Lepisosteus oculatus: one gene and its partner. The protein of the gene in region 1 purifies or fractionates together with the protein of each later gene. This does not show direct contact. Links are inferred from orthologs where the notes say so. Each region holds a gene or a part of one and is shown on either strand. Other genes may lie near its edges. The genes, in order: ulk3 and cdc37.

Region 1 (15,994 bases):
CTAGAGTAGATGAATAATTCTGCCATTTTCAACTTAAAACATTTTACTTGAATTAAAAATTCTCAACTGAACGTTTCATTGATTAAATGAAGACTTGAACTGTAGAAAGCTTGAATGAAAACCGTAACACGCAGGAGGGTCCGAGGATCGGTGCTGGGAAACTGACAGGTGAGGGCGTTCACATGCATGACTGTACTTTCCCATTAGGAGGGACACTGGCCCAGACCAGCTGAGCTCCCAGGTACAGTGAGCTTATCCACACCCCTCCATTACCCACCAGTGCCCCGGGCAGTTCATGGGCTTCAGCGCGAAGATGTCCTGCTCCACAGGGAAGGAGAACATGTTGTCGCTGTAGTGCTGCCAGTGGCCTGACGTCTCCCACAGCTTGCTGTTGTAGATGTTGGGAGAGGCCACTTCCTGGAACTCCCGCCTGCCGTACTCTTCCTGTCGGGAGAGAGAGAGTCGACTCACGTTGACCACGCGGAGCAGCCGGGCCCGGCCCACACACCCCATGCGGCAAATGGTCACTCTTTTCCGCCAGCAGACTTCATGACCAGGAGTTAAGGTGCAACACAGTTCGAGCTCTCACCCTGATGAAGTCTGTCAGTGTGTTGTAGATGAAGGCACCCTTGGGTAGGAAAAAGCAGCTGCCTGGACTCAAATCATGGAAGAAGAAGAGCTCCTGGTCCTGCAGACAGGAGGAACAGGGGAAGAGACGAGAGATGCAGATCACGAGCGCTGAACACCAAAACCATTATTCCATGGGAGCTAATGGGTACAAGTCCTAGTGGCAAAATAAGACTATCATCAGGAACTTCACAGGTTTCATTTACAATTGGAGTAATTCGACTAGACATTGTTGCCATGGAGTACAATGCAAAATACTTAGGGTTCAAACACAGTATTATGAAGAAATGTGTTGTAATTCAATTTCTTATATCACTTCCCTTGAAAAAAAAATCCTCATCTAAATAAACAACTTAACTCTATTGTGTATCCCAGCCTCCCGAAGGAAATGAAAGTCTCCTACAGTTTTAACTCATCTGCCTTCAGGGCTGGACCTTATGTTGTAGTCTGGCGCTTTAGTTTTTCTGTGTGTAATGTTTAACATTATTTATGTAAACACTTCTTCACTTTTTAGGCTTAGGGTATACAACATTTAAACACTATTTATAAAAGCGTAAAAACTGGATTACATTTCAGAATTGGTTACCTACAAGTGACCATGTCTTCCTCTAATTTATATATTCTTATGCTCTCTCATCCTACGAGACTGAACTTCTTCTGCTAACTAGGTGAATCCTTCCGTTGTGACACCCTCTACTCCAGGAGCACAGCTGCGTCTCGATCACTGCGTTTCCTCGCCATGAGCACAGTTACAAACGAGAGGAAGTCTTTCAGTCCTTCTAGTCCGTTTGGCAGTTAGTAGCCAATTGACATGAGGTTCCATCCAGACAGTGTCCGCTCCAGCAACATGGCGGTGCAGCTTGTACCAGACTCCCACAGCCTCTGGGAAAGGAAGCGCTGCCTGTACTTGGGGGGAAATGAACGGGGTTCTCTTCCTTTATTCCTTTACCTTGCCAATTTTGCGGTGATCCCGGCTCTTGGCCTCCTCCTGGAAGCGCTCCCACTCCTTCATCATCTTGGAGTCGGGGAAGGAGATGCCATAGAGGCGCTGGAGCGTCTCCATGTCGGCTCGCCCCTCCCAGTACGTGGATGAGTTCTAAAGGACAATAAACTTGAAATTATACTCATACACTGGTATATGGTAGAACGAAATTCTATTTAGCTCAGACAGTAAGTAATAGAAAAAAACAACAATACAATTGTGTAAGAAAAGAAAGACAGAGCCAACAGGTAATGTGCAAAATACCAGCTGTACGTCACAGAATGAAATAAAGGATAAGAAAATGATGGGGAGTGAACATCTTGACATGTGAGTTAGAGGTAGGTTTCAATGTGCGTTTGAGTTTTGATAAGGAGAGAAGGCACCATAAGGGTTCAGATCGTAGGCGAGAGAGGCTGGGAGTTTGATAGTTTGAAAGTGCGGGGGTAAAAACTGTCTCTGAGTCTGGTAGTCTGGGCCCGAACGCTCCAGTACCGTTTCCAGATGGTAGAGGGTTAAACAGGGTGTAGCTGGCGTGTGTGGGGATGATACTTGGAGTTTTCCTCAAGCACCATCGGTCATAAATGTCCTGGATGGATGGGAGAGCAACCCCAGTGATGGACTGGGCAGTTTTCACCACCCTCTGTAGGGCTTTGCGGTCAGCAATACTGCAGTTGCCACAGCACACTGTGATGCAACCTGTCAGTGTGCTTTCTGTATTGCATCTGTAAAAGTTAGTCAGGATCTGGGGAGGTATCTTAGTTAAAGAGCACAAGGGCAATATGCAGGACCTTCTCTCCAGCTCTGGCTGCATGCAAGGCTCAGGGTAACTTTGTTCCTTGTGCTCCTAAAGGCCCATTTAATGGTAAGTAAGGCAAGGTAATCAGACAGGATGATGTGTGCAGTGGTTTCAGTACCTAGGTCCCTCGATCAGACTGCTCTTTCACCTGGCCTGACAGAATTCAACCTGCCAACATCAGTAGTGCATCTGGTTCTGCTTGAGGGTTCAATTGCAAAGTTATTTTCAACCTCATTTACCTTAAAGGCACCTTTAAAAGGAGGGATTCAGACTTAGAGGAGTTCAGTTATGATCCTACAGATGGCAGCTTCCTACCATTGTCTCCTCAGCTGAGCCCAGCTCAGCCATAACCACAGCGTAACCCGCCGCCTGTGTTACATGTACTGAAGTAAGCCGCATGTCAGAAATGTTAGTCATCTAAAACTGCTAGGATCCTGAAAACTCTTTTCAGAGGGCAAAAGGTTTAGAGAATGCACAGCATAATAGTATCATTATAAAATTTTAAGCTGACTTACCGTTCTTGTCTAAAAACATCTTACTCTTTGTGAAATCAATAAAAACTGAAAGAAGCAGTGAAAAAGATGGCACAACTAAGCACTCCGCAGAGAACTTAGCTAAGCTGCGAGTGTTGGCGAGAGATGGTTGAGAAGGGAAGGCAGCATTTTATCCCATTTCTTCCCTCTCTCTGAGGTACTGTAGAGTAAACGGTACCTTATAGATCTTCAGGGCCTTGATCTTGCCAGTGTGTCTCACGTGTGGTCCTCGACAGAGATCGATCAGAGGCCCACACCTCCAGGAAGCAGCAGCAGACAACAGCAAGGTTAGCACACTGCCAAACTGCTGACTCACCCTTCAGATCAGTGCATCAGACATTTCCCTTCCAAGTATTTTCGGATTATCACAATCCTTATCGAACAAACTATGCAAGTAGTCAATTTTACTTTTCAAATCTCATATATACCTCCTCCTCATATTACACTATAACCTTCAAAACACAAGCCATCACTCGACGGTGGACAACTTGCGGCAAAATTCTGTGATGAGTGTCCAAAGCCAGTGGTAGCCAACATTAGCAGACACCAGATTTATACAGATAAGGCTTGCCTTGTCTCATCTGGACCAATTTAGGTTCTTCATCTTTAAAAAGACATAGAATCATACAAACTTTCTGCTAGACAAATGAGCAAGACTGAAAAGCATCACTGGTCAGGACTTCCCACTTCATCTGAATAAAACTGAGGCCTGACCTATCAGAATGATTCCCACTTAAGCAAAACTGGGTCCCTGCGTTCAGATCAAGTCCTTTTCTCTTGAAGTGGATACACTGGGGCTAACAAACAAGCAGTAAGGTGAGATTCAAAGATTAATTAAGTACTAGTAACTCCACATGGCAAAAAAGATTAAATTAAACTCAGATATGACTCTCAGATTGGTGCAGTCTGTCCCCAACCAATCTGTAGCTGTCACTTTGTGTCCACCCAAGCAGTAGTCCTCCCTCACACAGTGCACACAGATCAGCAGACAGGACCGCGCAGGTGAAATGGCATCTCTTACCGGTATACAGTAGTAGTAGGTGTGTTGACTTTCTCGTTCAAAATTCGGCACTTGAACTTGTTGTACTGCAATAAAAAAAGTCATTCCAGCATTATAAAACATATGTTTGGTAACTTTTGCTAAAAACGTTCTTTCAAAAAGTGGAATAATTCATTTCTAGTATTAAAGACGTGCTAAATCAGCATATGAACTTTAAAATACAATTAAGATGGTTTTAACTAGTTTGTAAACAAACGCGTACAGGTGACTCCTTAGCCATGTGTGCCAGCAGTAATATCCGGCAAAACAGCCAGGAGGGTATCAGCCCTTCCCAGGCAAAGGAAGAAGCTCTGCAGCACCTGTGGCCTCAGGGCTCACGTCAGGTGTGTCAGTACCAGAACATCAGTAATTTAGAGTTTACAACATCTGCTCTTGCCTTAAACATCTGCAGCAGCGTCTCCTTGCTGATCTCCAGCCGCTCAAAAGGCTGCTTCTCCTTCATCACCGACTTGCAGATGCCCTCCAGCTCGGTGAAGTCATGGCTCGACACACCTCTAGACAAACACGGGGGCACAGTCAGGGACCACCAGAGCAGCTGGAAACACGCAGCTCTGAAACCCACCAGATCAAAAACCATACATTCCACTCCAGAGCTCAATTCCTGCCGAGTACTTTCCAAACACCAAGTGTAGTATAATAGCTCAAGTGTAGCAATCCACTGCGAGGACAGGGAGTATGCAACAGCATTACTGCCTGACACAGAAGCACCCCTGTGCACGAGGTATTGAAGTGTACTTTGTTACAAAGCTGTGAGAAAGTCTGGAGGTGGCAAAGCTCTAACTGCATTCAGAGACATACTGTAGCTCAGGTCCTTTCCCCATGAACTCAGGAGCTGTTGAACTTGTTCCGTTTTCAAATGACAAGGTTACCAGGAGCCTCTTGATTCTGTAATCCAATTCTGTAATTATGTAATTCTTGATTTTGTTGACTGAGGTAAAGACAAGGGAAATACCACGTTACCCAGTAAAGGTGGGGCACTTCTGATCAAAGGAAAATGCAACCTGACTTGAGAACATGACCCCTGCTCTTGTGAAATGGGCTTCTCATGGCACATGTTCACAGCATTAAGGACAGGATCAAGCATTAATGTCTCGCCAGAATAAATCCTAAAGCATAGCACCTCCGTCAGCATTCAGGAGCTCCACCTGCCGGCCCACAAAGCCCCAACCAGCAGCAGCTGGATTTTCACATGATGACTTGCATTACAAGCACTGACCAGCTCCAGAGCTGACCTCCCGGTATCTGACCGGACAGGAACTGCAGAGCCTCACCGTCCGTCCAGGAACATGTCGTAATAGAAGCCGTTCTCGATGGGGGGTCCGTAGCACAGACAGCCCCCGTAGAAACGCTCCATCGCCTCTCCCATGATGTGAGCGCTGGAGTGCCAGTACACCTGAAACACAAGCAGTTTGAATAAAGCTGCACTTTAGGAGTTCAGCTTTATGTTACTTATTTTTCTCTGGTTTTTACATACTTTAAAGTCACAACATGCACAACCTATTGCTTAGTTTTCCAGAACAGACCTTCAAAGCTCACAGAGCCTCACTGAGGGAATAGCTTATCATTTCTATATTGAACTTTGTGGATAATAAGTGTCAAAAACTTACTCTAACCTGTACATTTTGAAAGATGTTTACTTACAGAATCGATAAAACATACTCCAGAAAACCTAAACCCCGAAGTGAAATGATCAATTGACAACATCCAGAGAAGAGAAGCTCCACACAACACGTTCATTACGATCAACACAAAAGTTCACGAAAAACACATGATCAGGACTGATGATCTTTAGCACATTTTCATATCACTCCAAGAAACACCGTCAGAACTGGCAACAAAACCTGCAGTGAATATTTTAACTGTCAGAATATCTGGCTTCTTCACAGTGATCCAGTTGCTAAATGACCACTGGGAATTCGAGGACGTACAGAGAGAGAGCGGGGGACTCACAGCCTGGGCATCCTCGTGGTCAAAGCGCAGCAGCTCCAGGGAACAGTCCGTCTCCAAGGGTCTGTCCAGGTCCCACAGCTCTCCGTTCACCCGTGCGATCACTGCACTGTCAGCCAGGCCCTGACTGCGAGGGAAACACCGTCAGCCCCCGAGACAGAGGTGCACCACACCCCACTGCACTCCATCAAACCCCCAGGACAGAGGCACCCCACACCATCAACACCCAGCCCTGGACAGAGGCACCCCACACCATCAACACCCAGCCCTGGACAGAGGCATCCCACACCCCAATACACTCCATCAATCCCAGAGACAGAGGCACCCCACACCCCACTACACTCCATCAATCCCAGAGACAGAGGCACCCCACACCATCAACCCCCCCATGAGACAGAAGCACACCCAGCAACACTCCATCAACCCCAGAGACAGAGGTGCCCCACACCCCACCACCCTCTCCATCATCCCCCAAGACAGAGACACCCCACACGCTGCTCAATGAGCTCTCTGAACCACAGCTTTTACAAAAGACTCTTCTCATTAGACAAAGAGTACTTGTACAAGTGACAATGGACCGAGCGATATCCTGTGGGCAAGGAGCCCCTGCCTGCGGCCGCAGCCCTGCCCCTCACCTGATGCCACAGGCCACGTGGTAGGGGCTGCTCTCCCAGCTGCGGGCCTCCACGCGCCGCCCGTCCGGCAGCTGCACCCGGACAGGCCGGCTCTCGGCGGCAGCTCTGCGGGCCAGCAGGGCATCGCTCTCCCGCTTCAGCTGCTCGTACAGCTGCAGCCGCTCCTGGACGTAGCTCGGCCAGAGGGGCAGCTGGGACAGCGGGGAGACAGGAGAGCTCCTTCACCGGGTTTACCAAGACCACGTTCGGAAGGCAGGGCCCACATGAACACAAGACCAGGGAACAGTCAGACTGGGCTGTTTTAAAGCCGGTAGAGGGGAAGACTTTGCTAATGCGTCACTGATTGCTGGTTGCTCTCGCACTCCTCGCTTCTTTTGTTTTCCGATCTGAGGAGTCTGTGATTTCTTCTGTTGGCCGTGTCAGTTTCTCACTATTGGAGAAATGTGCTGTTGACTTCGAGAGCCCCGTGCGGCTTAAGCTGAAGCACTAGATTTGCGTCTCGGTCAGGAGCCAGGCTGACAAGGTGCGGCGGGCAGAGTTACCTCTCCGGATGGCTGCTCGCCCCTGGAGTTCTCCTGCTCCTCTTTCCTCGTCCCCTGAGCACTGCGGGAGTCGGAGCTGCCCAGCTGACAGGCAGAAACCAAGAGTCAGACAGCTGCTTCTTTAAGAACGTACATCTGACTGCACAAATGAACTTCTACACCAGTTTAAATGAAGAATTAGATTGTTACTACGCTTCAGAAAATTTCAAATCATGTTCTATATTTCATCTTTGTTTAAAATTAACCCCAGTTAATTTTTAAAGTCTAGATTTAGAGATAAACCTATTGCACTAGTAACGTGTTAATCATACATCTAGGATAAACTCAGAAATACCCATTTAAAGTCACTGTGGAGCAATATTACAATTAATTTAACATAACGCTAGATGAATTTTAGTTCAGCACTCTTCAATGCAGTCTGTTTTGGTGTGATCAAACCTTAGAATCAGCAATCGACACTTCCTGACTGGCGCCCACCTGCGTGAACCCGAGACTTACCAGGCCAGGAGGGGTGCTGACTCCACTCCTGGGGGCCTGACACCCACACTGTCAAGAGGGGCTCTCAGGCATTGCAAGCCCAGAGCCCCACACACTCCAGCTCCCTCATGATCCTAGACTCTGGAGCGCTGAACCCCCAGTAGTAGGTCCCCAAAACACCCCCACACCCAGCAGTGTCTGGCCAGCCGTGCGTCGTCACTGGTAAGGGCACAGGCTGCTTCATCTGCAGTATGAGGACTGGGGTACGTTCTAAACCCAGTACAGGGGTCACAATGCAGGTAAGCTTGCCGTGGTGCTTTGAGATGCACGTTCACTTACAGAATGCCTTCGGCTTTGGAGATGGTGGTGAAATAAAAAGCACAGAGCTCACAAAGGATCATACAGAAACAGGGTAGATCTGATGGAAGCCATTTGCTCTGATTGAAGGTGACATATGGCACTGAGAGCATACAGCAGCTGAACTGTCGTACAGCGAGCCAGGCAACGTCACCAGCAAGGGACTGAAGACCAGATGCAGCTTCCTCACATGGGCTTGAAACTTTTGCTCCACCACTAGTGAGAATTATTTAATTTCTGACACGACAGCTATCATACCATTTCCCGCCTGACCGTGTCACGGTGTCTCCATACACTAATATGATCATGTCGTGCCTGCCTCAGCAAAGAGGAGTCTTCAGAACGCCTGTAACCAGACCCATGACTGCACGATGCACTGCCTTAAAGGGAAGAGCTGCTCAGGGCTGTGCAATCAGACAGTAACACATCTTTCAGGCACAGTAGATTCGGAGTTAAATTCCCCGGTACCTCTCTGCTGCTGCTCTTCCCAGCTCTCGTCTCTTTCCCCTCCTCGCCCTCCCGAGCGCCCGTCTCCGGGTCGGACTCGGACTGCAGGCTCCTCCGGAGATGCAGGATCCGGTACCGCAGCTTCTCGTTCTCGCTCCGCAGGGTCTCCAGCTCCGGGCTGCTGCAGAGGCCGGCCACGGCCGCGGGGTCTCCGCCGACCCCACCGCGCAGCCAGGACACCTCCTGGGTCAGCAGGCGGACCTGCTCCTCCTGCGCGGCCAGGCGTGCTACCATAGACTCCGCCATCTTTAAATCCCGGCTTCTTCCCTCTTCCACGGCTTTAATACAGCTGGCAGCAGCGCCACTGCGCGGAAACAGGCTTGTAGCGCCCCCTGCTGGCTCCCGTGAGCAGCACATTGGGATTAGGCGCTGCTTGGTTAAACCGTAAGGAAATCTAAACTCAGCATATGGGCAGAGTTAAATTTCCCTCGCTTGGTATTTTTAAAAACATTTAAAAACATTATCCATAAAGCTTCAGTATTACTATACTACTGTTATTGCTGCTTCTATTAATTCTATCATTACTACAACCACCACTAAAACTACAGTATACTGCAGTAATTGGAGCATACCTCACTTCTCTTCTTCAGTAAGCGGCGATGCAGGTACTGAGCCGATGCAGGATCTCACCGCCAGGGGGAAGCACCGATTTCGTCCGTAACTAAAATCGCGGTGACGTTGTACAGTGTACAGTATGGAAACAGAGCTAGAAATGCACATTGAGCAGGTGTGGAAGTAAGTCTGCAGAAAAAACATAAGTGATCGCCCTGAGCACACTGTTTTAGTCCCCCTAGTATACAGATTTAGACTAGTGCACGTATTGAGGTTTACGAGGCTCAAAACGGTTCGGAAACTATTGTTCTATACCTTTATTTAAAACCATCGGGTCACTTTACATAGCCGCTGGAAACACGTTACTTACTGGAAAATGTTAGGTTTAGATGCACTGCATACATCGCTGCTCTGCCCATAAAAGATCTGGCATTTTCAATCGCATTAAATTGCCATTTAACTCTAATTTTCTTTCGGATCTGTGACGACGCGCTATTGGTGCATGTAATTCCCAGAGCGCTTTCAACAAGGAAGTAGGTGCATGTCGAGTCAGCCCGGCTCCAGAGTGGGGAGGATGAGCAGCTCCGCGGCCCCAAGCCTGTCCGCCTCCTGAGCCGAGCTCCGCCGTCCCACTGCCGGCATGGCTGCGGGCTTCGCTCCCCCGAAACTGTCCGAGTTCATCCTGACCGAGAGGCTGGGCAGCGGGACCTACGCCGCTGTGTACAAGGCGTACAGGAAGGTGAGTTCTCCGCGGCTCTGCCGTGCACAGAGCTTCCGAGGAATACCGACATTGCGCTCGCAGTTTCCCCACTTTGATAAGACACTTTGGATTCTGATAGCAGTAATAACATTCATTTTGATTATTGCAAAATATGGCCGTCAGAAACCAGAGTTCCTGTTGAAAAGCTTCGATATGGACTCGGCAGTGTGAAAAATCACCATTCCTTCGCTTCAACCACCAGTATCGGTGTTGTGTTTGCAAATATAGGCGGCACATACACAGCTATACAGTGGCCTGTAGGACTGCAGATAACGTGAGTCTGTGTTTTTCATGAACGGGTGGTTTCGCATAAGCACACTGAACTTGGCTGGTGATTTTTGAAGCTGTGTTTTACAAATATATGTAAGTTGAACATTCACAGTGTAAAAATACAATTTGTAGGACTGCACTTTGTTTTTACTGTGATATTTCTTTCCAAGAACCAAGTGGTTCCAGTGAGTCCAGCCTTGTAAAACTTACATGTATGATCTCTGACTAATGGAGACAGATACACTTGTGTCACATACGCTGTTGGACCCAGGATTCAGTTCTGTATCTCCCAAGCCCTTCCCTGCTCCTGACACTGCCCCACCACCAGAGGGCAGGGATGCTGTTGAGAGTCCTGTCTCTGGAAAACTCTCCTACTCCTACTACTCTCCTGCTGCTACACGTGGAGACTGGGTACACTTCCTGATGTGCTCCAGGGTGCAGGAGCAGGTGAAAAGTAAGCTCAGGGGTGGGGCAGTCATGATGCAGGGGCATGGTGGGATCTGGACTTGAGGACAAGCTGGACTCACAGTGACTGTCTCGCAGAAGGACAGCAGGGAGGTGGTGGCTGTGAAAGTGGTGGGGAAGAAGAGTCTGAACAAGGCATCCACGGAGAACCTGCTGACGGAAATCGAGATCCTCAAGACTGTGCGGCACCCCCACATTGTCCAGCTCAAGGACTTCCAGGTACCCCATCTGCACCACTCGGAGCCACACACACAGCCCTTTTCTGAAGGTCTTGCAGACACTTTCCTGAGGGACAAAGCGTACTGCTCTGTTGAAGTAGTTCAGCTGGGTAGCTGTGTCAGCACCGCGTAGGCTGCAAAGGAACAAGTAATAGGTGTATTCAATGCTGAAAAGAGAAGAAAGAAACCACAACATTTCGGCTGTGGAGTAAGGTTACACCCGAAGAAGGCACAACAGCCTAAACGTTTTGTTTTCTTTCTTCTCTTTTCAGCATGGAATAAACCTATTACTTGTTCCTGTACTGCCCTGTTGTCTCCAGAGATGTAATGACCTGAGTTGTTGTGCGCTTTTTAAAAACATGTTGCGGATGATGCAGAAAGGAAACACTGTGTGTCTCCAGGGTGCTGTTCGCCACAAGCTGTGTGGCATCACTGACTAGGGCAGGACTCTGTACAGCGCTTGTGAGAGTCTGAGGGCTGCACTGAGGGGAGCAGTCTGGCTCCTGCTGCCAAGCTGTGAGACGTGTCTGCAAGGCCTTAAAGCAAAGATGTACTGTTAGAGTAGAGGAAGCCACCTGGCATATTTATCATGTGAGTTCCAGATGCCTGTTGGTCTGGAAGCCTTACAGTATCATGACAGTTTTTCTAAAGAGGCCAAAGTCTCTGAGCTTTCTAAAACTGTAATTCATGCTCACTGAGTGGGGGGAGTAGTGAAAGGCACTTTTCCACCTGTTAAACCTCATGTACCTGTAGCGATGTTTGTTCTAGTGCAATAAGGCCAGCTTGCCTTTACACAAACCTTTTCAGCTTGAGGTCCAGATTTATTATTGAAGTTCAAGCAGGTAGCTGCATCAGCATGCGTAGACTGTAAAGGAACAGGTAACGGTTTATTCCATGCGGAATGGGAAAGAAAAGAGATGTCGCAGCTGTGGGGCCTTCTTCAGGTATAAGGTAAACCAGCAGTTACTGAAGCATGGGAGGAGATACTTCGAACAGTTAAGGGGCGTTAGAGGTGAAATATGGAACTATAGGTTTGGAGAGATCTTTGATCCTCACAGTCCTGACGTGTTCCCTGAAACAGTTTCCCAGTCTCCTTCCTGTCTCACCAATGTAAATAGCTGGGCTTATTCTGCAAGAGATGCAGTCAGTTAGGTTGCTGGATATATACAATGTCATCTTGGTGATCTAATATTGTCCAGATTTATTATTGTCACTCCATTGCCAGTCAGGTGACCTATAAACACAAGTATGAAAGTAAGTAATTGCTTTATCTCGAGAGGAAGCCTTTAGCTTTGATGGGTACTGTACATTGTAAATGTTTTCCTGGGACAAGGCACACATGTCTAGGGGCTCCTGAGCTGTAGACAGGAGTTTCAGCAGACTGGACTGGGGTTCCACTGTGGCCACGGACAGAAAATGGATGTTGCTTCCTTAAACATTTATGACACCAAATTCAAGGAGGTTTTTGACTTCTGGACTTATTCTGAAGTAAACCAGTAGTTGCAAATAAAAGTATCATTTCAAATTTAACAGAACCCCTTGAAAGCCGAAGAAAGACAGGTGGTTGTGTGCTCTTTATGTTATTAGCCGCCGCTGTCCTCAGGGCGCTCTCCTGGTGGGGGGCGGTGGACTGATGATGCTTGTCTTGGCTGCAGTGGGACAGTGAGAATATCTACCTGATCATGGAGTGGTGCTCTGGGGGCGACCTGTCTCGCTTCATTCGCAGTCGCCACATGCTGCCGGAGAGGGTGGCCCGCCGCTTCCTGCAGCAGCTCGGTGAGTCCTGCCGCTTCCTGCTCCTGCTTGACCAACCCCCTGCTGGCCCTGTCCTGGGTTTGTAGGCTGTGTTCTTACGCTGTCGCCCAGTAAGTGTGTGGCTCAGCTGTTGGGAGTGTGGTCGACCGGAGCCCTGACTCTGCTGTGTTGCGCGTCTGCAGCCTGCGCCCTGCAGTTTCTCCATGAGCGGAACATCAGCCACCTGGACCTCAAGCCTCAGAACATCCTGCTGAGTGGCAGCGTCCTCAAGCTGGCAGGTACAGTCTGACCACAGCTTCCTGCTCACAGCCCCTGCAGGCCGGGGGTCCGAATTCAGCCCTGCTCTTACAGGACACCTGTGTGTGGCGTCGGAGGAAATTGTGGACAGAGCTGAGTTTGGTGAAGTACTCCTGATGTCGGGACAGCAGCACAGGATAGCAGGTGTTATAAAAGTGCTGTTCATTAGAAAGTCATGATGATTTTGCAGCTATTTTAAAGTGTTCCCTCTGAAACAAACTCAGATTGAATAGAAATGCACAAGAGAGAAGAGCTGCATTTTCTGATCTGGAAAAACCTGTTTACTCCCTTCAAAGCGCTCACGTTTGCATATTCCAGTGGGTGTCCTGATCAGTAGGCAGTAGTTTACACTGTATGGGCCCTTCAGGGCCTCGTGTGGAGCGCCCCCTCACCGCCCCTGTGTCCGTGTGCAGACTTCGGCTTCGCCCAGTACATGTCTCCCTGGGACGAGAAGCACGTGCTGCGCGGGTCCCCCCTCTACATGGCTCCGGAGATGGTGTGCAGGCGGCAGTACGACGCCCGAGTCGACCTCTGGTCTGTGGGGGTCATCCTGTACGGTGAGGGGGCTCTGGGGGGCTCCGGTCGCGCTGCGCCGCGCTGCACACGCTGTGGGTCCCCCGTTCTCCGGGGCTCCGCAGGGAGCGACTTCGTTTGCACCTTTGCCTGGCTGGGGAGGCCGGACAGAACTTCCCAGTACCTCTCGCTGTGCCAAGAGGAGCCCTGTGACGTCTGCAGTCTAGTTTCTGTGACGCTTACAGGAAATGTAATGCAGGCTGTACGAAAGGGCATCTGGACTGGGGGTATTTACTTTCTTTACGGAAGGCTTATGAGGTCATGTTCAAGATGCCACATCACTACATGGCCTGAAGTTTATGAATACATCTGAGTTAATCTGTTTATTTCTGTGGGCCATCCCCCTGCTGGTACCCCACAGCGCTGCCTTGTCGCAGGCGAATGTGTCTGGGTGCCTTCAGCCTTATTCTGGTCTTATTCTGGATTCCTGAAATCAGTCAGTTTCAAACCCTTTTAGTGCCTAAGGAAGGTTACTGATGAAAGGAGACAGTTTCACCCTTTCTGCTGATTCAGCTGCTAAAAGGTCATTCATCTAAGGCTCTTGTACAAGCCTCTGATCTGCTAGCAGTCAAAATCTCAGTATTTATTAGCTTTTAATTAGGTTGCATACATTCAATTGTACTGAACTTTGAGATTTATCTATGAAAAATGCACTTATCGATACAATTTATTAAGTACTTATTTAAATCTTTCTTTTTTGTTTTTCAATTGGCCTGCTACACCTCGATACTCTCTGTATCTTATTACATGCCAGCATGGTTCTGCAGCCCTGCGGTGTTCTGGGACATCGACTGCTTCTGCCACCTGCCTCAAGGCTCACCTGGCATGCGGCGATGTCCCATGGCACCGTGCGTTCTGCTGCGCCGCCTAAGACCCAGTCTGTGTCGTTGCCCCCTGTGTGTGTTCAGAGGCCCTGTTCGGCCGGCCCCCTTTCGCCTCGCGGTCCTACACTGAGCTGGAGGAGAAGATCCGCAGCGACTGGCCCATCGAGGTGAGACACACCTGCCACGGGAGCAGGAGCGAGAGTGTCCCTCTGTGTCGATGTGTTCGCGACGCTGCCCTCCGGCAAGCACAGTGCCCGCAGCGGGAAGCAGAGGCAATGACAAACATCTGATGTATCGCCAGTGGACCCTGTTTCGTCCTTCACAGTCCCACATCTGTTGAAAGCCAAGCCACACCCTCAGTGTCCTGACGCCAGCGCGCGTGGTGGAGGTGGTGGAGGTGTCCTTGAGGCTGCTGCCTGCCTGCCTGATGCAATTCCTTGCAGCCAGAGAAATGCTTTTTCACTCTCTGATAGCTGCTGGACAGGGCATTTCTCTAGCAGCCTCAAGGACACAGCTCAGAGTTAATAATAATCAGAATTCCAATAGTTTTCTCAAAGCACTTTACCTAGAGGGGACCCCAGTCACCCACCAGTGAGGTGCGGCCCCACTGCACAGATCAGGCAGAGAAGTGAGAAACTGATTCATCATTCAGATTAAGGAAGTTCAGGAATGACAGATTCTACAAGTCTAAGGTGAAATGTAGTCAGAACACCAAGGTTGGCACCCTTGTTTTTACAAACGGCTGTGTCTTCTTGAATGACAAAGCCATAGCCACAACCTCCCGGCCAACCTCGAGTAACCCAGCGAGTCCGCTCTGTCTGAACCAGTCTGTTGTGACAGCTGGACTGCAGCTCTGGAAATGGATGTTTACACACCATTCAGTGTTGCCAAAGATTTTGGAGCTAGAGATGAAGCGTGATCAAATATTTAAAGACCTTGTGTGTATTGGATTTGTGTTTTGGGGAAAAGAGTGGAAAGAGCCATAAGGAAGAGAGGAGGAGAGTTCTTCACCACTAGAGGGCAGCCTGCGCAAGCTTAGTCCAGTTTGTCAAAGCATCTCTTCCAAGTCTTTGTTCCTGCTAAACCACGCAAAGAATTATAGTGTTAGAGAGCAAATCTTATAGTGTTGCAACCCCATGCCATATGTTTTACCATAGAAAAACTATGATAAAGAAAATAATACAGAAAAGAATGTAAAGTTTCTTGAAGTGAATACATGAACACGTCATGTGCAGGTATTCTGTACTGATGTAATGATACTCACATTTCATATTATAATTTGACCACAGTCTTTTAAGTCTATTAAGTTTATTTAGTCCTCTTGAATACTTGATAATATGACTGTTGTCCCGTCTGCTCATGGGAAAAGTCTTTCTTTTCACAGAATCTTATTGTAAAAAAAAAATCGGATCTATTGTATGCCTGCTCGAAGGGCCTGAAAAAAAAACTTAACAGCTTTTCTTTTATTGTTTTTTAGCCAAGTCTGTGTCTGATTGAAACTAAAATCATAACTGTCCGGGTTTTTGTGGACATTGTGGTTAAAATGTGGGTTTAAAAACCTCCAAGAACTCCAAGAATTCCAAGAACTGTGGACATGAACTTGGCAACCAAAAGAAACTTCCCACTGTATCTTTGGTCTGAGAGGAGAAAAATGACCAGGGAGCCTTTTAGATCAAAACATGATTATCTCCCCCCCAGATTTGTGGTCCTCAGCACTGGATCTGGCCTTGACTTATTTCTCCTTTCCCTCAGCACTCAGTTCTCAATCCGGGGAGCAGTAAGCCCCTAACTAAGGCTCGAGTTACAAGAGCAGTTTT
Region 2 (16,618 bases), on another chromosome or scaffold:
GGTGAAAATAGCATGTTATCCTTTCCTTTTGAAAAGAATGACTATGTTTCAGGTTTCGAGAAGGATACTGGGGGGGGCACCCTGGACTGGAAACTTTCTGGTACGTAAATCCCAAGGCACTTGTAGCACAAGCAGATTTTCCGTGCCTTTGGCAAGCTAACTTACCCCCTTCCTTCAACTGCGTCAGACTCTCTCTGGACTGTGTGGAGGTACCATTAATTGTCAGAACGCTGAGCTCATTCATCAGCCGAGAGACTCCCAGTGCTGTCAATCTGCTGGCTGTCAACTAACTGTTCAGCACACCTGCGCAGACTGTGTCTCCATTCATTACACAGGCAGAGTTGTAGAAGCCCTGATGGACAGGAAGAAAGGCAGCTGTGGGATTCCCATTCTCCTGCACGATAACACCCTTTTCCCTCTTTAAAATGAGACAACACGTTCTCTACAGGCGGCAGCAAACTCTACCGTAGATGACATCTGACGAACAGGAGAGGCTGGTGGACTTGTTAAAGATCAGTCTACAATGAATCAGCTTATTCCCAAAATGTTTTTTTTAATTATTTTACAGAGTGCCCTTTCCCTGATGAGCAGCTCGTGAAGCAACAAAGTCAGATCCAATTTAGAACCTACTGAATACGGCACCAGATTAAACAAATCAGTAATCAGATGATCAATAGACCATGATCTAATTAAAAAATATATATACTAAACAATATAAATAAATTGAAGTGTCTTTATTCCAATTTAACAATTGCATTGTGGTTTAAAAAACAATAACCATAGCATGCAGTACAAGGATTTGCAGGTTTAAACTTGAATTGTTTTCCAAATCTCTCCTTAAACTTACAAGAAGGTGACAATCACAAGGCTCAAGGGAAGGTGCCCCTTCAGTCAAAACTTGACGTCAGAGATGAGCACAGATGCACTTCGCAAGATATCAGTAAAGCAAGCAGGTTTACAACACAGGGGGAACAAATGTGGTTTCAGATGTAGATATACAATAGGACTATAGTACAAGGCACTGTAAGGATATGATACATCCATTTAGAATACAAAATAATCAGTTCAAATGTTGCTGCAAAATCAAACTTTACTGTGAATGCATACTTTTCTCTAATAAGATATTATAAATGGGTTTAACAACAGTAAAATATTGTATTTACCAGCCCCCATTGAATGAATTCAATGAATTCGAGTTTAATATGAAAGGTTTCAGCTGTGAAACCGGCCCCCTGCTGGAGGGCAGCGCAGTTGCCCTGGCATACCAGTCCTGGCGGGAATCGCCATTTTAGTCTTTCGCTAACATCCATATAGCCAACGCCGCGAACAATCTGTTTTCTTCGGTAATCGTCAGTTTAATAAAACAAAATTATTACAGGGGTCCAAAGAAATGTAACTCAAGTTTCCAAGGGACGTTTTAAGCAGGTGAGTCATTACATCACCCAACGAACCAAAACACGTTGAAAACAATATCGTGGCTATGAAAAATAACGATTCATACAATACACAAACACATATGATAGTAGAAAAGAATGGTCTTACTGTGTGAAACAGATTATTTTCAGGATTATTATTTCCCCTTGTTAGTTTCTTTAACGGTCACTTCTCGCGCCTCACTTGCCACACCCCGCGTGCACCTTCCTCGTGCGTCATCATCCCCTTCCGGCCTAGTCACCTGAAAATGTGTCCTGGTTTGGTGATGTTACCGTTCGTGACGCCGATTGAATAAGACTGTAAGTGCTGGTAAAATTCCTACTGTACGTAACAACCTGCCCACTAACCTCAGTGATGATGACGAGTCCGCGATTACGTCACGCGATTAGAAGGTGTGGTCCGTGCCGTTTGGTCGCTCCGTTACTTTTGTCTATCATAGTTGCTGGACTGGAGTATCCCTGCAGATAAATGGGTTTAAATTCACTTTTAGACCCCCAGATACAATCAAAAGCACAGCAGGCTACAATAAGTTCCTTCCATGAGCATGGAAGACTGTGGCTTCATGTTAGTCCCAGCTCTGCTGACTGTGACTGTGAAAGCCATCATCTCAAAGCGCTCTTTATTTCTTATTTCTGAATAAGCCATGTTGACACACCAATGGTAATGGCCATATGATTTTTTAAATATTTTTCATTCAGTTTTTGGCACAATTGTATTTTTGCAGCTTGTGTCAATTGCCCTGGATAAGAACACCCACTTAACAAAGAGCAACAACACTAACACTTGTTGGCAATGGGGTACTGCCATCCAAGAATCCACAGACTGGGTGTTAATAATAATAATTGCTTACACTTCTATAGCGCATTTCTGGACACTCCACTCAAAGCACTTTACATGTAATTGGAACTCCCCTCCACCACCACCACTGCGCAGCATCCACCTGGATTATTACTGTTGTGGTGATAAAACGCCGCGCACGACACAGAGCAGGCACAAACACCTTTGTACTTGTCTGGTGCCTTGGCCATCATCAGGGCCTATTGAAGGTTTTCCTGCAGAAATCTCATGGTTGATTTCCTGGTCTGTGGGGAGAAACTGCAGTTTTGGAAGTCAGCTTACTTGTGGCTTCATGAGAGGGTTTTTTATTGTTAAGCATATGTGCTTCACAGGGCTAAGAGCAGATATGCTGAGGCACTGGGGGCTTGATTAAGACAATTGCTCCATTCATCAGAATGATTATTACCCCAATCTGGTGTTTTGTCTGCTAAAGCTACATCAGATAAGAGCCACACCTATGGCTTTCCATGTTCCTGCTGTTAAGATGCATTAGCAGGATATACAAAATATGTAGACAAATAATGAAATCTACAGTAGATGATAACAAACATTACAGATATGTTTTTCATATAGATACAGGATAGTTAACCATCATTTCTTTGTTATTAGTATAGATTTCATGATTTATTGAGTAGTTAAAGGAAAATTACCTCTTGGTACTGATAATTAGAAAGCAGGTGTTATAAGCTTAATAGGCTTGAACTCAAGGGCATTTCCGACAGACTGTCCTCCTTTAATTGGCTGTGTAAGTCAAGGGCAATACTAACAGACTGTCCCTGTTTAACCAGCTGTGTGTATTTACTGTCGTGAGTGGCACTCAGGTTTCTCAAATCTGTCCATCTTTCCATTGTCTTGGGAATCTGTGCCTTTTATTAGGGAAGGTTTTACATTCGAAACCGATGGTAAAACAAAAACAATCTTCTAGGTCAGTGCTATTCATTTCTGGTCCTGGAGGCTCACGGTTCATCAGATTTTATGGGTAACATAATCCTCGGTGAGTAAAGACTTGGAAACAGTGGTAATATAGACCAATTAAATGAACAATTGATTCAGATGAAGTCATTAAGAGTCCAGGGTGGAATAAAAACCTGAAGAAACAGTGTCCCTACAGGACCAGGAGTGAATATCAGCACTCTTTCAAGAAGCCAAAGAAAGAAAGACTGAGAAAACGTTGCACCCAGGTTGTGTCTTTTTCAGGTGTACATAGTCTCTGGCATAAGCCGAGGGATTTTAAAAGCTTTAACATTTGTATTGTCCACAGATAATTTGAACATTTCACTCTTCTGCGTGGCGCTGCAAGCTTTGGCCAGCGAGACAGGCAAGGTAATGTGTCCTAACGGGAACATCTTCAACAGACAGGTAGATATAAATTTAACAGCAAACTGAACAGCCACATAAAATCCGCCCAATCACGAGAGCACACCTTCTTCTCCATTATGTGTTTTGCCTTCCACCCCACCAGCAAACTCTTGAGTCCTCCTGCAATACCTGTCTCGGGAAGCACCGGTATAGATCAGAAAATACTGAAACCAGTTTCCCCTTCTCTCTTTCGGTGCCTCCAACGTCCATTTATTCACCCCCTGGGAAGTGCACTCTGATGGCTTTGGGCACATGAGTCATTCCTCTGCAGTCTCTGCAGGAAGAAGGAAAAACGAGAGTCCATCCAGACTGTGGTGGGCCAGCCCTCCTACCCACCTCACAGACATGGCTGTGCAGGCAGGGAAGTTGGAGGGAATCGGTTCTACTGTTGCCTGGCCACAGGTTTGCTGGGCCTGTTGCTGAACGGTGTATCTGCACTTGTAAGCCTCCGAAAAGGGGCAAGATGTCCATCACCACGCCAGGTCGCAAGCTGTTTATCCCTTGAACTCCGGTTTCCTCAATAAGATGAATTTAGAGCACACAATTTATTCTGGTGCCTTGTCTTTCTCTCTACACGTTTGAAATCCCTAATCCCAGCACACTCGCACAACTGAATCCCCGAAGGAAGAGAGAAGGAGGGTAATGAAAGAGAGAAATGCCAAGGGGAGAGAATTAGGACCTGTCGAGGCTAGGGAGGGATGGCTCTCTGGTGGGAATTAACTTGGCTTTCTGAGCACATGGGGGGAAGGCTGTGTCTCATTACTCTCGGCTTCTGCACACTGCTGCTATCAAAGAGGCTGAGAGGGATTTTGAGATGGAAGATAGAAAAACCTTTAGCACACACAGTTCTCTTTCAAATTATCCAGCTTTACCGTTACTGCAGCTAAATGCATTTGTTCTTCTTCAAGATATTAAATCCGCAGACAAAGGAAAGTTCTTAAACATTCAAATAAGAGTAATTTTATTATTTTGTCTGATCTAGAGCAGGACTTTCTGTTTTAAATCCTCAGATTCCCACACACTCTCTGGTTTGGTTTTTGTTCTTCTCATTTAATTAATTGAACCTTTAAATGAGCTTTATTGGAACCATGGTGCCTTCAAAGGATTTCATTGCACCTCTGCTTTTATGGTCCTGAATGATGTCATTATTGGCCATCGTCGGACCAATTAAAAGACTTCTCCCAGCTGTTGAAGTGCTGGTGCCTCAAAGAGACCAAACTTGCACGAGCAGAACCAGAGCCTCCTTGATCTATAACAAAACAGAACAACTTTGTAATTCTGGCCCTGGTGACAATAGTGTCTAGACTTTCAATTTCTTCATTCAACAAATAATTTGACTTTTTAATAATTAAATTGATCCTTTTGAAAATCGTTTTCTGTGACTAAAAATATTATATTTTCAAGTTATTTAATGAATGTTTAGTTGTACAATTATTTGACTTTTATTATTATTATTAAACTAAAATTAATATTGATGATGATTCAATTACAATGCAGAATAATTAATAACCTGATAGTGCCCTCTGCTGGTAACAAACCAAACTACAACTTTAAATTAAAACTGGGGTGCTATCTGCAGGAGGTTTGTGTGTTCTCCCTGTGTTTGCGTGCATTTCCTCCAGGTGCTCCGGGTTTCTCTCACAGTCCAAAAACATACTGATCTTCTGTGAAAATCAGCCCTGTGTGTCTGTGTATCTGCCCTATGACTGACCTTCATCCCGTCCAGGGTGTATCCTTGCTGGGATAGACTCCAGCTCCCCCACAAACCCTGGATAAAGGGGCTAGAAAATGGGTGGAAGGAATTTATATCAAGGCCTATTCATGAGGAACTCAGGTGGACGTGCATTCCAAACTGAGAACAGAACAGGTGGTGAGAGTTTGAAACCATCTACCCAGCCATGTATTTGATTCCGATACCCTGATTTATGTTTTTCAGGAATCAGCTGAATAAAATCTTTGGATGAATTAACTGCTAACTACCAAATGGACTAGATGGGCTTGGAACTTCTGTACTTTCCAGTTGTGGCCTCTGCCTGATATTTCAAATATTGATTCTAAGTAAGTCCATTGGGTTGAGCATGTCAAATTCTTGTTAGGATTTCGGGTAATTGAATCAGTTCCCCTTTGTACAGAGAACAAAGAATTAATTCAGTAAATCCTATAATGTATCTGGTTGCTCTTTTCTGGATTGGTTCCAGAACAGCAGTATATTTTTTCTAATGTGGTGACTAAAATGGTACACAGCATTCTAAATGAGGTTTTACATAAAAAACTTTGCTTTAAATTTTCCACTTAACTATACATCACAAAAATTCTGATTGTGTTTTTTATTACTGCCCCACAACATATATGATGTGTCTGATAATGGATGGATGAGAGAAGCAGATTTGGGCTCTTGAGTTCTAATTGCATGTGATTAGCATTCCTGTCACTTCAAGGCAAATTGTTATTTGTGAGCCTCCCTAGGTGTGACTCATCATTTTAATTGGATTTCTGCTTTTTGTGTATTCTAAAGACTTTTCTATTCCGGGCAGAGCGTTGGCAACACAAATACATTTTATTTGCCTTTCAGTTCTGTTCATTCTAGTCCATAATGGGAAAAAAAATCAGCTTTCTCTGGAAAGGAAAATGCAACTCTTGCTTAACATCTGTGAGAAAAAAGTGTAGGTGGGTATCTGCGTCAGCATGCATAGGCTGCAACGGAACAAGTAAAGGTTTATTCCATTCTGATAAGAGAAGAAAGAAAACACAACGTTTCGGCTGTGGAGCCTTCTTCGGGTGTGAGGTTTACTTTCATGTGGCAGGGCTCCTTTGCACAGACATCCTCGGTTCATGTTAGTATGACAGAAACTGAGCATAACCACATTGACGGTGCCTGCGTTATATAACTCTTAATGCCTACAGAGGGCACATGAAAGATGAGCTGGCTTCTAACTAAATACAATGCAACCTGCAGTTAAATCTCTCTCTCTGCACCCCAGATGCCACAAAATAAATGGGAGCCTATATCCCTATCCATAAAAATGCACCCTTAACAGGAAAGATGTTTCTAACTGAGGTATCTTTTAACCTGAAACCCAAGTTCCCTAAAAACCCTGAATAGCAAGCCCTCTCTAACAAGGTCAAATACTTACTGTAGCTCCAGCCAGGTTTGATTTGGATGGGAAGAGGCCCAACGAGTCTCCCTCTACGAAGTAGGGGCTCTCACTTGGCGCAACTTCAAGTCCCAACTCCTCCGGACTCCTCTCTGTTCCCTGCTTCTTGTTTCTTCCTCTTTCTCCCCTCTCTGTGCTCTTGTGATCTTATATTGTGTGTGTCTGTACTGCTTCTTGAAAATCATTAATCCACAAGGTACCTAGGTATACTAAGGTCGACTTTACAGTTGTTTCTGTTCAAGGGACCCCCCCAGACCGCAGCAAACATCCTCTGGGCTTTGAAGTTAGAAGTGTTTACTCTTCCAAGTGTTACAAACTTTATCTAAAATCTAAGAGACACTTCTCAGTCATCTAAAGCTCTAGCAATATTGTAACGCTACACATGGTTCACATGGGCACCCTCACCACTGCCACATCAGGTCAGCCCCCCACCGTCAGGGACTCAAACCCAGGCCTCCGGCATCACTCAACAGGGACCCAGCCTCTTGAGCCAAAGGGAAATCTCCCATCAGCCCAGCGGCTGCAGTCCCTGCTATTCACAGGGAAGGGCAGTGACATCACCGCTCTGGTAAGCCAGCTCTCACAAGCAATGGAGGCCGTATGCGTTACAATATGCACAGTATAGTTATTCCTGTCTGTGTCTAGGATGTTGAAGACTTGTGCACAGCAATTTACACAGCTGTGAGTCCAGTTGTGATGACGGCGTGTTTTCTGTTTTTTATATTTGGAAGCAAGTTGCAGAACTCAGCATTTCTTTAAACCCAGAATTTCCCGCTGTGCCCAAGTTTGGTCCATTGCCAATATGTATTGTTGGTAATGAAGGACGAATTAAAACTGGAACGTGTCTGGAGACGCTTCCAGATTCTAGAACACGGCGCTCCTCAGGCGTCTGAGGGAGGAGTGGGGTTTGTGCCTGGAAACGCCATTACCAAATAGTAGTTTTTCACAATGCCCATCCTTCCGTTTTCTAACTGCTTCTTCCAATTCAGGGTCGGGGGGAGCTGGAGTCTCTCCCAGCAAGGCAGGCTGCACTGGGGACGAAACGCCACTCCATTGCAGGCCACACACAGCACACACACACTCGCACCAGGGCCACTTTTCCAGAAGCCAGTTAAACTGCCAGCATGTCTTTGGACTGGAGCGCCTGCAGGAAGCCCGTGGGAACATGAGGAGAGCGTGCAAACTCACTGCTCCACCGTGGCGCCCATCACAATAGCCAGCGAAGTGTAGAAACAACCAACTTTATTCAATCCGTTTAAAAGCCGCCATCTCAAAGTGCTTGTAAGATGCCAAAAGAAGAGAGACAGTTTTTTATCAAGCTCAGTGTCCCCCTAGCCAAAGTGGGACTCGGGTTTGGAAATTCTGGTCCACCGACAGCAGAAGAGCGACTGTAATGTTTGTTCTTTTGTTAAGCATAAATAAAATTTAAAAAAAGAAAACAACTGAGATTGACATTATAGTCTGAAAACAAGACTGTAGCACAATGTCAGTTAAAAATGAAATAGTCCACTTTAATATAAAATGAATTTTGTGGATATCAACCCTAGACTTATGTTTAACAGATTATTTTCCAGTTGGAGTTAATCATGTTTTTAATGTGTAGTGCTGAATTTAATTTGGAACAAAATATTTTCTTCATACCTATAGTATAATCTCTTGCCGTACGGATGTCCGGCCGCCTGCTGCCCGGGTGGGCGCAGCCATATTTGCATGGTCTTTTCCAGACTCGAGCCACAAAGGGGGAGGGACGTCGACGCTAGAGAGCCGCTCCTGCTGCTCCGCCGCGAGCAACAGAGCGGCGCTTCACCGATTTCTCGAAGGGGCGCGAGAGAGGGGAGGCTCCGGGGCCGTACGGAAGTGACGTTCCACACTTCAAACGGAAGCAAAAGAGATTTCGAGAAAGATTCAGAGGCAAGGCGAGTGACGGGTTGGAGGTAGATCGGAGTGTTCTTGGGGTGTTTTTTTTTAAAGATTGCTTCAAAATTTAGATCACCGGGCCAATAAGTGTTGAGGTTTTTGTTTGTGTGCTGTATTTCTTATCTTTTAGAGTTCATTCACGCGCCGGGCTGTCCGTGCTTGATCCGACCTCGCAGCGAAGATGACAACTATAGACTACAGCGTGTGGGATCACATTGAAGTATCTGATGATGAAGACGACACTCACCCCAACATCGATACCCCCAGCCTGTTCCGTTGGAGGCACCAGGTGAATTAAATAATCGGGCCTGACACAATGAATCGCGATGGCGTTTGCAGGGCACATAAGCATGTCTGTGAACGTAGAATTTTACTAGGGGCCGGGGGAGCTTTCTGTTAGGGGCTCACTAATCCACCGCCCACGACTGCAAAAAGTACTGGAGTAACAAGGCAGTTCATTTTATTTTATAATATTTAAAATGCCTACTCCTAAGAGCTTGCCTTGATTCGTGCACGGTACTTTGTGGTGCACCAATAACAAAGACCCGACGATGTGTTTTTGCAAAAAGGCGGTACTTCAAGCACTCCTCAAGTCTTCCCAACACGTTTTGGAATACATCCCCCCCGGGGTCTGCGCTGTTTGTGCTCAGTTGATGCTGTTAATGCGCGTATGTGGTTCTGGGGGTGCTGTCAGCCACAGTTGCTGGGTGTGAGAGGGCAGGAACCAGGCTTTGCACGGCCTCTCGGCTGCTGGTGGGACCTGCCTGCTTTCGGAAGGGGGCTGCTGTGCCAGGAGTGCTCTGATCCCGGCGGAATGCGACTTCCCTCGAACAGCTGTGCTCTTTCTAGCCCGCTGGTGCCGGCCCTCCCGCCCACACTGGGGGGATTAACCCCTGGCTGCTTCACTCTCGGTTGATTTTACTTTTAACTACATGTTTAGCATCCCGGCCCTTTGACAGGAGGGAAGTAATTGCGATAATTAATGACGCAAAGGGGAGGGCATTAGAAACTAGAAAGGAAGGTGGGAGGAAGAAAAACAGCGGAAAAGGAAGTTGCATGGGGAATATAGATCAATGGAGAGCCAAAGGGAAAAACATATCAAATGATCAGGTATTTAAGTGCTTATATCTAAATGCTAGGAGTAGGGGAAACCAAGTAGAGGAGAGAGAGAAGCTACCACGTTAGCAGGCAGTTGTGAAGTTATTTTAATCACAGAGACCTGGGTGCCTGAGAATGATGGAGAGAAATGTAACATTAGTGGAGACACTCCACTCTGTTCCAGAGAGGCAGGAAAGATGAAGGAGGGGAGGGGCTGTAGCTGTATAGATAAAACGTTTTCAGCTTCAGGAAGCTCGAGTCTCTGGATCTGTGTGGGACAGGCTCATTAACGGAACATTCCAAATGTACAGGGTTCGGAGTAAGATATAGACCAGCAGATGCTGATTATAATTTGGCACTGTGTAATAAAGAAATGTGCATAAGAAGCAGTTTTAATGGGAGACTTTTTCCAAGGCAAAGACGAATAGGATTATCAATGGCAGAATCTCTCACCCACTTCGCCAGTGCATCTGCAAGGAGGTGCTTGTATAGATCTCGCCTCATCAAAGTCAGGACAGGCTAACAGAAACAGATGAGTGCACCACCAGCGTGGTGTGCACAATATATTGTGCTGTGAAGTGTTTTTGTGTGCGTTACAGACTGAGTGCCAAAGCGCAAAGTATTACAATTTCCAGGAAGCAGAAATTTAAGAAATGGACTTTTAAGGAGGCGGAAGTGAAATAAAATGGGTTTCTTACCAATTGTTAGCCATGGAAATGAGACATTATTGAGAATACACTGATGCAGCCCTTCAAGAATCGTGTAATACGGTGGTTGTACCCAGGAACTGGAGAAGTGTTAACTGGTGTGGACAAAAAGTGAATACTCAAACTGGGGTGGTGTAATAGGTACCAGAGAGAACTGTACCAGGATGATTGCTTTTCTTAATTTATACAGATTAAAGGCCTTGTCACTGCAGAATACAGTAAAATAGACCAGCTGTGTTTTCTCTTTCTGTTGGGGGCTGCCGTTTCCCTGTGAGGCACAGCTTCGGAAATGGCTCCCCTGCCTCTTACTCAGCCCTCCTTCCCCGATTAGGCCAGGGTGGAGCGCATGGAGCAGTTCCAGAAGAAGCGGGAAGAGATGGAGAAGGGGCTGACGGAGTCCAAGCGGAAGACGGCGGAGCTGCAGAAGAAGATCCGGGAGCTGGAGATCTCGGGCACGGACGACGCCAAGGCGGAGCTGCCGAAGCTGCAGGCCGAGGAGCAGCAGCTGAGGAAGGAGGAGAAGAAGTGGGAGAAGAAGCTGGACGAGCACCGCAGGGAGGAGAAGAAGCAGCCCTGGAATGTGGACACCCTCAGCAGGGAGGGCTTCAGCAAGGTTAGTGTGTGTGTGTCCTCCCCAACACCGCCACTGCCAAAAACCAGTCCAACAAGTTTAGTTTTGTGCAGGCCGCCGGCCCGGGTTTCATGGGGTAGAGCCTCGATCGCGTTTGTAACAGGCAGTGACTGAGATGAGTGCTGGCGTGCTGCCGGCTGAGCACTGCTGGGGTTATGGTTCAGATGAGTGGGCCAGGGTCAGCTCTACCAAATGGCAGCTATTGCCACATCCTGGGTGCCTGCTGGTTTTGTAGTGACACCAGCAAGGGCCAGAACTCTGTTTCATGCAGATGCCAGAAGGTCGGAGGAGCAACACTGCCCTTTCTTATTTGCCTTCTTTTGGTATTGGGATTATTGCATGGGGTTATTGGGAGCTGTAATGAAATGCTGAGCCAGTTAAAACTGGGTGGGTATTACGATGGGAACGTATAATACAAGTGTAACAAAACAAGAAGATAGAAAATGGTTCCTGATGAGCAGTGGCCATTTGGCACATCTTGCTGGTTTGATTGATACTTAGCAGCCTTATAGACCAAAGACGCAGGGCAGCACATGGGCAAGGGAGATTAGCACAGCTGTGAGGGTCTGGGGTTCGATTCTGTGTGGAGTTTGCATTCTCCTCCCATGTTTTCACCCCACCTCCTGAAGACATGAAGTTGAGGTTTGGTTGGCTGCTCAGAATGCCCCCAAGCCTCTAGGTGTATTTCCAGATTCATGAGGAAGCTGGTCTCCTCACCTTGTTACTTTGGTGCATCTCTCCCCATTACCAGATCTGGTGAAGTGTACAGATCCGGGGATCTAAAAATGACCTAAAAATCTCACGCAGTTCCTTATTTAAGGAATCCAGGGAGTAAACCTCAAGAACCTAAAGCCGAAAACGGAATAATTCCCACACTGCAAAGAGTGTCAAGTAAAAAGTAAGTCGAAGGATCTATGTGTCTTTAGTCTTGAGTCAAAGAGGTTATTCAGAATTATTCACAGGACACAGGTGCGCATTCAGAAGTCCGATTTCAGAATAAGGACACAGTGATTTACAAAAAGAGCCATGGAAACTGGGATAAAACAAACTCAGCTGTGTTTTTGAATTCCCTAATTCCCTGTTTTTTTAAGAAAATGGACACAGGGTTTTTAAACTTCAAAGACCAAATGTTCTTTTGTGACTGTTTTTACGTGGGAAGGGCTTAGATGGAGTTTTTTAAGTGTGCACAGTAAAGCCCAGTCTGTCCTAAAGAAGGGGGCTTTGGCCTGACCGCACTATCCCTCTCCTCAGAGTGTGCTCAACGTCAAGCCGGAGCATAAGGAGGAGACGGAGGAGGAGAAGGAGCAGAAGCACAAGACCTTCGTGGAGAAGTACGAGAAACAGATCAAACACTTTGGTAAGCTGGGGGATTTGTTCAGCACCATGTGGTACTGCGTGCACTAAGGGAATGGGAGATCTAGACCAGTTTATAAGCCTACTATATCATAAGTTCTACCTGTAAAGTGCAGTTCTTGTATGTTTTCTGTATTTACTCAAGGCAAATTAGATGACACCCAGTGCAGTTGGCCTCTGTAGAAGAGCCTGCCTCTCAGAATTCTTATTGACAGTCTTGTTGTAAAAGCAACAGGTTTGGCCTTTGCAGCAGTCTTTTCTGTTGTCCTGTCCTCTGGTTCCTGTTGTACGTCTGCGTGGGTATGGATGTTGAGCGTGCTATCAGACAGGGTGCTAACAGCCACGGTTGTGCTCAGGTATGCTACGGCGCTGGGATGACAGTCAGAAGTACCTGTCAGATAACCCCCACCTGGTGTGCGAAGAGACGGCCAACTACCTCGTCATCATGTGCATTGACCTGGAGGTGGAGGAGGTAAGCATCACCTGCCTGACCTCAGTCCAGCTGTGGCCAAATGGGGAGGGGGGTGGGGGGGCATGCCTCTGGAATTGGTCTCACCCGAGTCCTGGTCAAGATGTCCATGTATTTTGTAACCCCTTCTTTCAGTTCAGGGTCACAGGGGAGCTGGAGCATATCCCAACAGAAAACGGGAACAAGGCAAGACACCCCATGGACAGGACACCTGTCCACTGCAGGGTGGATGGACTCTGACACAGACACAAAAACACTCATGCTAGCGCCAGTTTTCCCAGAAGCCAGTTAACCTACTAGCATGTCTTTGGACTGTGGGGAATAAGTGGAGCACCCAGAGGAAACTCACACAAACACAGGCAGAACATATCAACTCCACACAGTGGCTGAGATGTATCCTAGAAAACTCATAAGGGGTGAAAATGGCACCCTGTTGTACAGCAGCCTGTTGTATTCTTGGTATGACAGTGTGCAGGCTCTTGTATAGATTGTACTGTTGAAGGAGCAAAACATTGGGCCTAAATCTATGGAGCAAAGAATGAAATATCAGTCCCTCAGTTAAGCCTTTAGCTAGGAGCCCCCAAAAGGGAAAACCTGAAATGGACTGACCTGCCATAGAGTGGGAGTTGGTCTCCCTTCCTCATGTATGGCAAACCGGATTGAAAGTTAAAGCTGCCCCCTCAGTAGACTGGGAGTGTTCCTGACAGCAACAATGCTCAGTCATTCCAGCTGGATCAGCACACACTTCTGTCCATGTGAACTTGACAGAAACGTCTCACTGTCACGTAGACAATTCTCATCATGAAGAAAATTGTAAGAACCGGCAATTTTTCATTGAATCCCTCTACAGTTTTTGAGAGCAGTTTGACTTGAGTTAGTAGGTTCTTCTGGTGTCCAAGGCCTGGACGTTCCTGAAGACTTTAGTTTTCCCCTGCTTAAAAAGCTGCCAGCGGCAGTGATATTGGTGAGACCTTCGTCCCGCAGGGTGCTGTGCTGTCCAGATCTGAGTCCTCCATGGGATTACGTATTACACATGATGTTCTTGGTATCTTTTTCACGCCTCCGGACGATTCAGTATTTCTCCTTCCTCTTGTTCCCTGTCTGGAGTTGAATGCATTCTTTCGGCAAGTTGGAATCCTTTGAACGATTGTCCAGAATTCCCAAGTGCACACAGTATCTTGCAGATGCACCCGGAAATCTTGTTTTGGCATTTTTCTGACTTAAGTTAGTTTGAAATTCCATCCATCCATTTAGTAACCACCTTCACGGGTCACGGGGGGGGCTGGAGCCCATTTTGGCAAGCAACAGGCCAAAGACAGGACACCAGTGCACACATTTAAAATATCAGAACATTTTAGGTATCTGAAACAGGACTGAGGCTGCAGTGAAATGGCACATGAAGACCGTCTTCACAATCCACAGGTGACTCAGAGAAGTGAAACTGCCACAGCTTGTGAAACCTGCAGTTTCAGCATAGCCGTCATCCTTGGTTCAGAAGCAGTCCAATCTGGACCTTCCAGGTTATTGTGGTGCAGGGTTTTGTTGCAGCCTTATAAGCCCATCAGCAAGAAACAAATCGATGAAAAGGGAGCTGGATCTCCCAGTCAGAGGTGTAGATTGGGAGGTGTGGTACTCGACCTCTTCTCTGCAGGCTCTGTAGCATCAGCACGGTCACTGAAGATTTACTCATGTCCTGTGTGTGTGGGGGGTCTCTCTGCAGAAACACGCACTGATGGAGCAGGTTGCCCACCAGACCATAGTGATGCAGTTCATCCTGGAGCTAGCCAAGAGCCTGAAGGTGGACCCCAGGGGCTGCTTCCGGCAGTTCTTCACCAAGATCAAGGTGGGCCCTCTAGCAGCTCTTCTGCACCCCGATGTGCTGCTGGTACCAGTGCAGGGTGAACAGAGGTGTACTGACTCATAGCATCCGGCAGGCTCTTTTTCTGCTTTGTGCTGTTTGTGAAGGTACAGCGATGTCAACAGAGATGTCGTAGGCTTATTGCTGCCTCATAAGCACTATAAATTGCTTACAAGCACTAGACATTGTGGAGATGTAATGACTTCCCCTTGGGGAAAGACTGTTTGTCTGTGTCTTGTGGGGGGGGGACGCCTGTGAGAGCCGTCACTAACGGAAAAGCCGCATCTCTCGCAGACGGCCGACCAGCAGTACCAGGACGCCTTCAACGACGAGCTGGAGGCCTTCAAGGAGCGCGTGCGGGGCCGGGCGAAGATCCGGATCGAGAAGGCCATGAAGGAGTTCGAGGAGGAGGAGCGGCAGAAGCGCCTGGGCCCCGGGGGGCTCGACCCTGTCGAGGTCTACGACACGCTCCCACTGGTGCGTGTCTCCTGCTCTCCGTCGTTTCCCACAGTTCAATGGGTTCTTGCAGGGCGGGGCTGTAAAAGCTTGTGAGGGCGGACCTTAAGGGTGCCGTTTCAGTTTAATAACACCGCTAACTAAATGGTAGAAGAGAGGCCTGTTAAGCAAGTGACGTGTCCTGCAGCTCCCTCCAGAATTGGCGGGGCTGTTGTCCTCCAGGGCACCAGGCTCTAAACGGGGGGCTGACAGAAAATGCAATTCTCCGGCACCCTAGTGTGATTTATGGGCTTACACAACAAGAGGAGATGAGAGGCTTGAAAAAATAATGTACTTTGTGTTGTTTTTAAATATAATTGGAAAAAACAATGCTTAAGAAATGAAGTGCTTTTTGTTTTTTTCAAAGCCCCTGCTCTTTTGGAAAATGAATAGCAAATGGAGAGTCGTTAAACGTTTAAGGCCAGCTCATTTCGGCAGGAGCAGAGATGAACACATGCCCTGTGCTTATTGGTGGATGGTTGTGGAGCTGTATCCAAGATTTTCAAATGGATTCTCATTTCAATTCCGCAGGAGATGCAGAAGTGCTTTGATGAGAAGGACATACAGCTGTTGCAAGACGTCATCAGCAAAATGGATCCGACGGTAACGTTTCTGTCTTGCCCCCGGTTCATCTGTGTATATCAGGGGTTTCTTCTGGTTTCACATGGGTACAGTCACTGTTGGATGAACCCTTGTCTACAGGTCTAAGGCTTCAGGCAGATGAAATTATGGTGGTTTACACCTCTGCTTAACGGAGATTGGTTGACTCCAGATAAATGTAAATATGCTGTGGAATTAACGAGCACTGTCCTTAAAGAGCACATGCATCCATGAGGTAGCCAGTTTAGGAACCACCTTTAAGTGAAAAGCACTTAAATAAATGCAATTAATGAACAGGCAAAATGAGATTGACATAGATTGCATTATGTGCTGTTTTTCCAGCTATTGAGAATTAGGGAAGAGTCTTCAAAAGACTCTTCCCGTATTTGCACTTTCCTGAAGCAGAGAGAACTGTTCTGGATTCCACAACACACCTGCATATGCCATTTAAATTGTGTCCTTCTCTGGCAGCATCGGCAGCAGGCCCTGCGCGCAGTGCACCGCCAGTGCCCTGGCCACAGCTCTGGGAGCTCAGAAAATGGGGACTAATTAAACAATGTGAATCAAAGAATTTTAGGACCAGATGATCATGGTTTCCTCGCTAGCAATATGAATCCTGCCTGTGTCTCTTTGTCTGAACACTAACCCCCCTCCCCCCGTCTCTCTCAACAGGAAGCCAAGCACCACATGCAGAGATGCATCGAC

Evidence for each region.
Region 2: the proteins of ulk3 (region 1) and cdc37 purify together in Homo sapiens (affinity purification with mass spectrometry; 3 studies listed by BioGRID and IntAct, with this or other methods). This does not show direct contact. The link is inferred for Lepisosteus oculatus from reciprocal best matches to the Homo sapiens genes ULK3 and CDC37.

Annotation. Positions count from the first base shown.
Region 1 is NC_090700.1:56,473,882-56,489,875, forward strand, and holds the start of ulk3 (serine/threonine-protein kinase ULK3), read left to right. Parts: upstream 1-9,136; 5' UTR 9,137-9,198; intron 9,199-9,530; 5' UTR 9,531-9,655; coding exon 9,656-9,754; intron 9,755-10,588; coding exon 10,589-10,729; intron 10,730-12,383; coding exon 12,384-12,504; intron 12,505-12,665; coding exon 12,666-12,761; intron 12,762-13,193; coding exon 13,194-13,337; intron 13,338-14,261; coding exon 14,262-14,344; intron 14,345-15,994. Other genes in the region: tars3 (threonine--tRNA ligase 1, cytoplasmic), read right to left, coding at 278-444, 590-688, 1,577-1,723, 3,117-3,195, 3,960-4,024, 4,375-4,492, 5,270-5,391, 5,949-6,072 and 3 more. UniProt on the Homo sapiens protein: Serine/threonine protein kinase that acts as a regulator of Sonic hedgehog (SHH) signaling and autophagy.
Region 2 is NC_090706.1:15,644,783-15,661,400, reverse strand, and holds the start of cdc37 (hsp90 co-chaperone Cdc37), read left to right. Parts: upstream 1-8,608; 5' UTR 8,609-8,701; exon of another isoform or gene 8,702-8,719; intron 8,720-8,832; 5' UTR 8,833-8,883; coding exon 8,884-8,991; intron 8,992-10,838; coding exon 10,839-11,120; intron 11,121-12,389; coding exon 12,390-12,495; intron 12,496-12,847; coding exon 12,848-12,963; intron 12,964-14,680; coding exon 14,681-14,803; intron 14,804-15,112; coding exon 15,113-15,295; intron 15,296-15,844; coding exon 15,845-15,916; intron 15,917-16,585; coding exon 16,586-16,618. UniProt on the Homo sapiens protein: Co-chaperone that binds to numerous kinases and promotes their interaction with the Hsp90 complex, resulting in stabilization and promotion of their activity. Inhibits HSP90AA1 ATPase activity.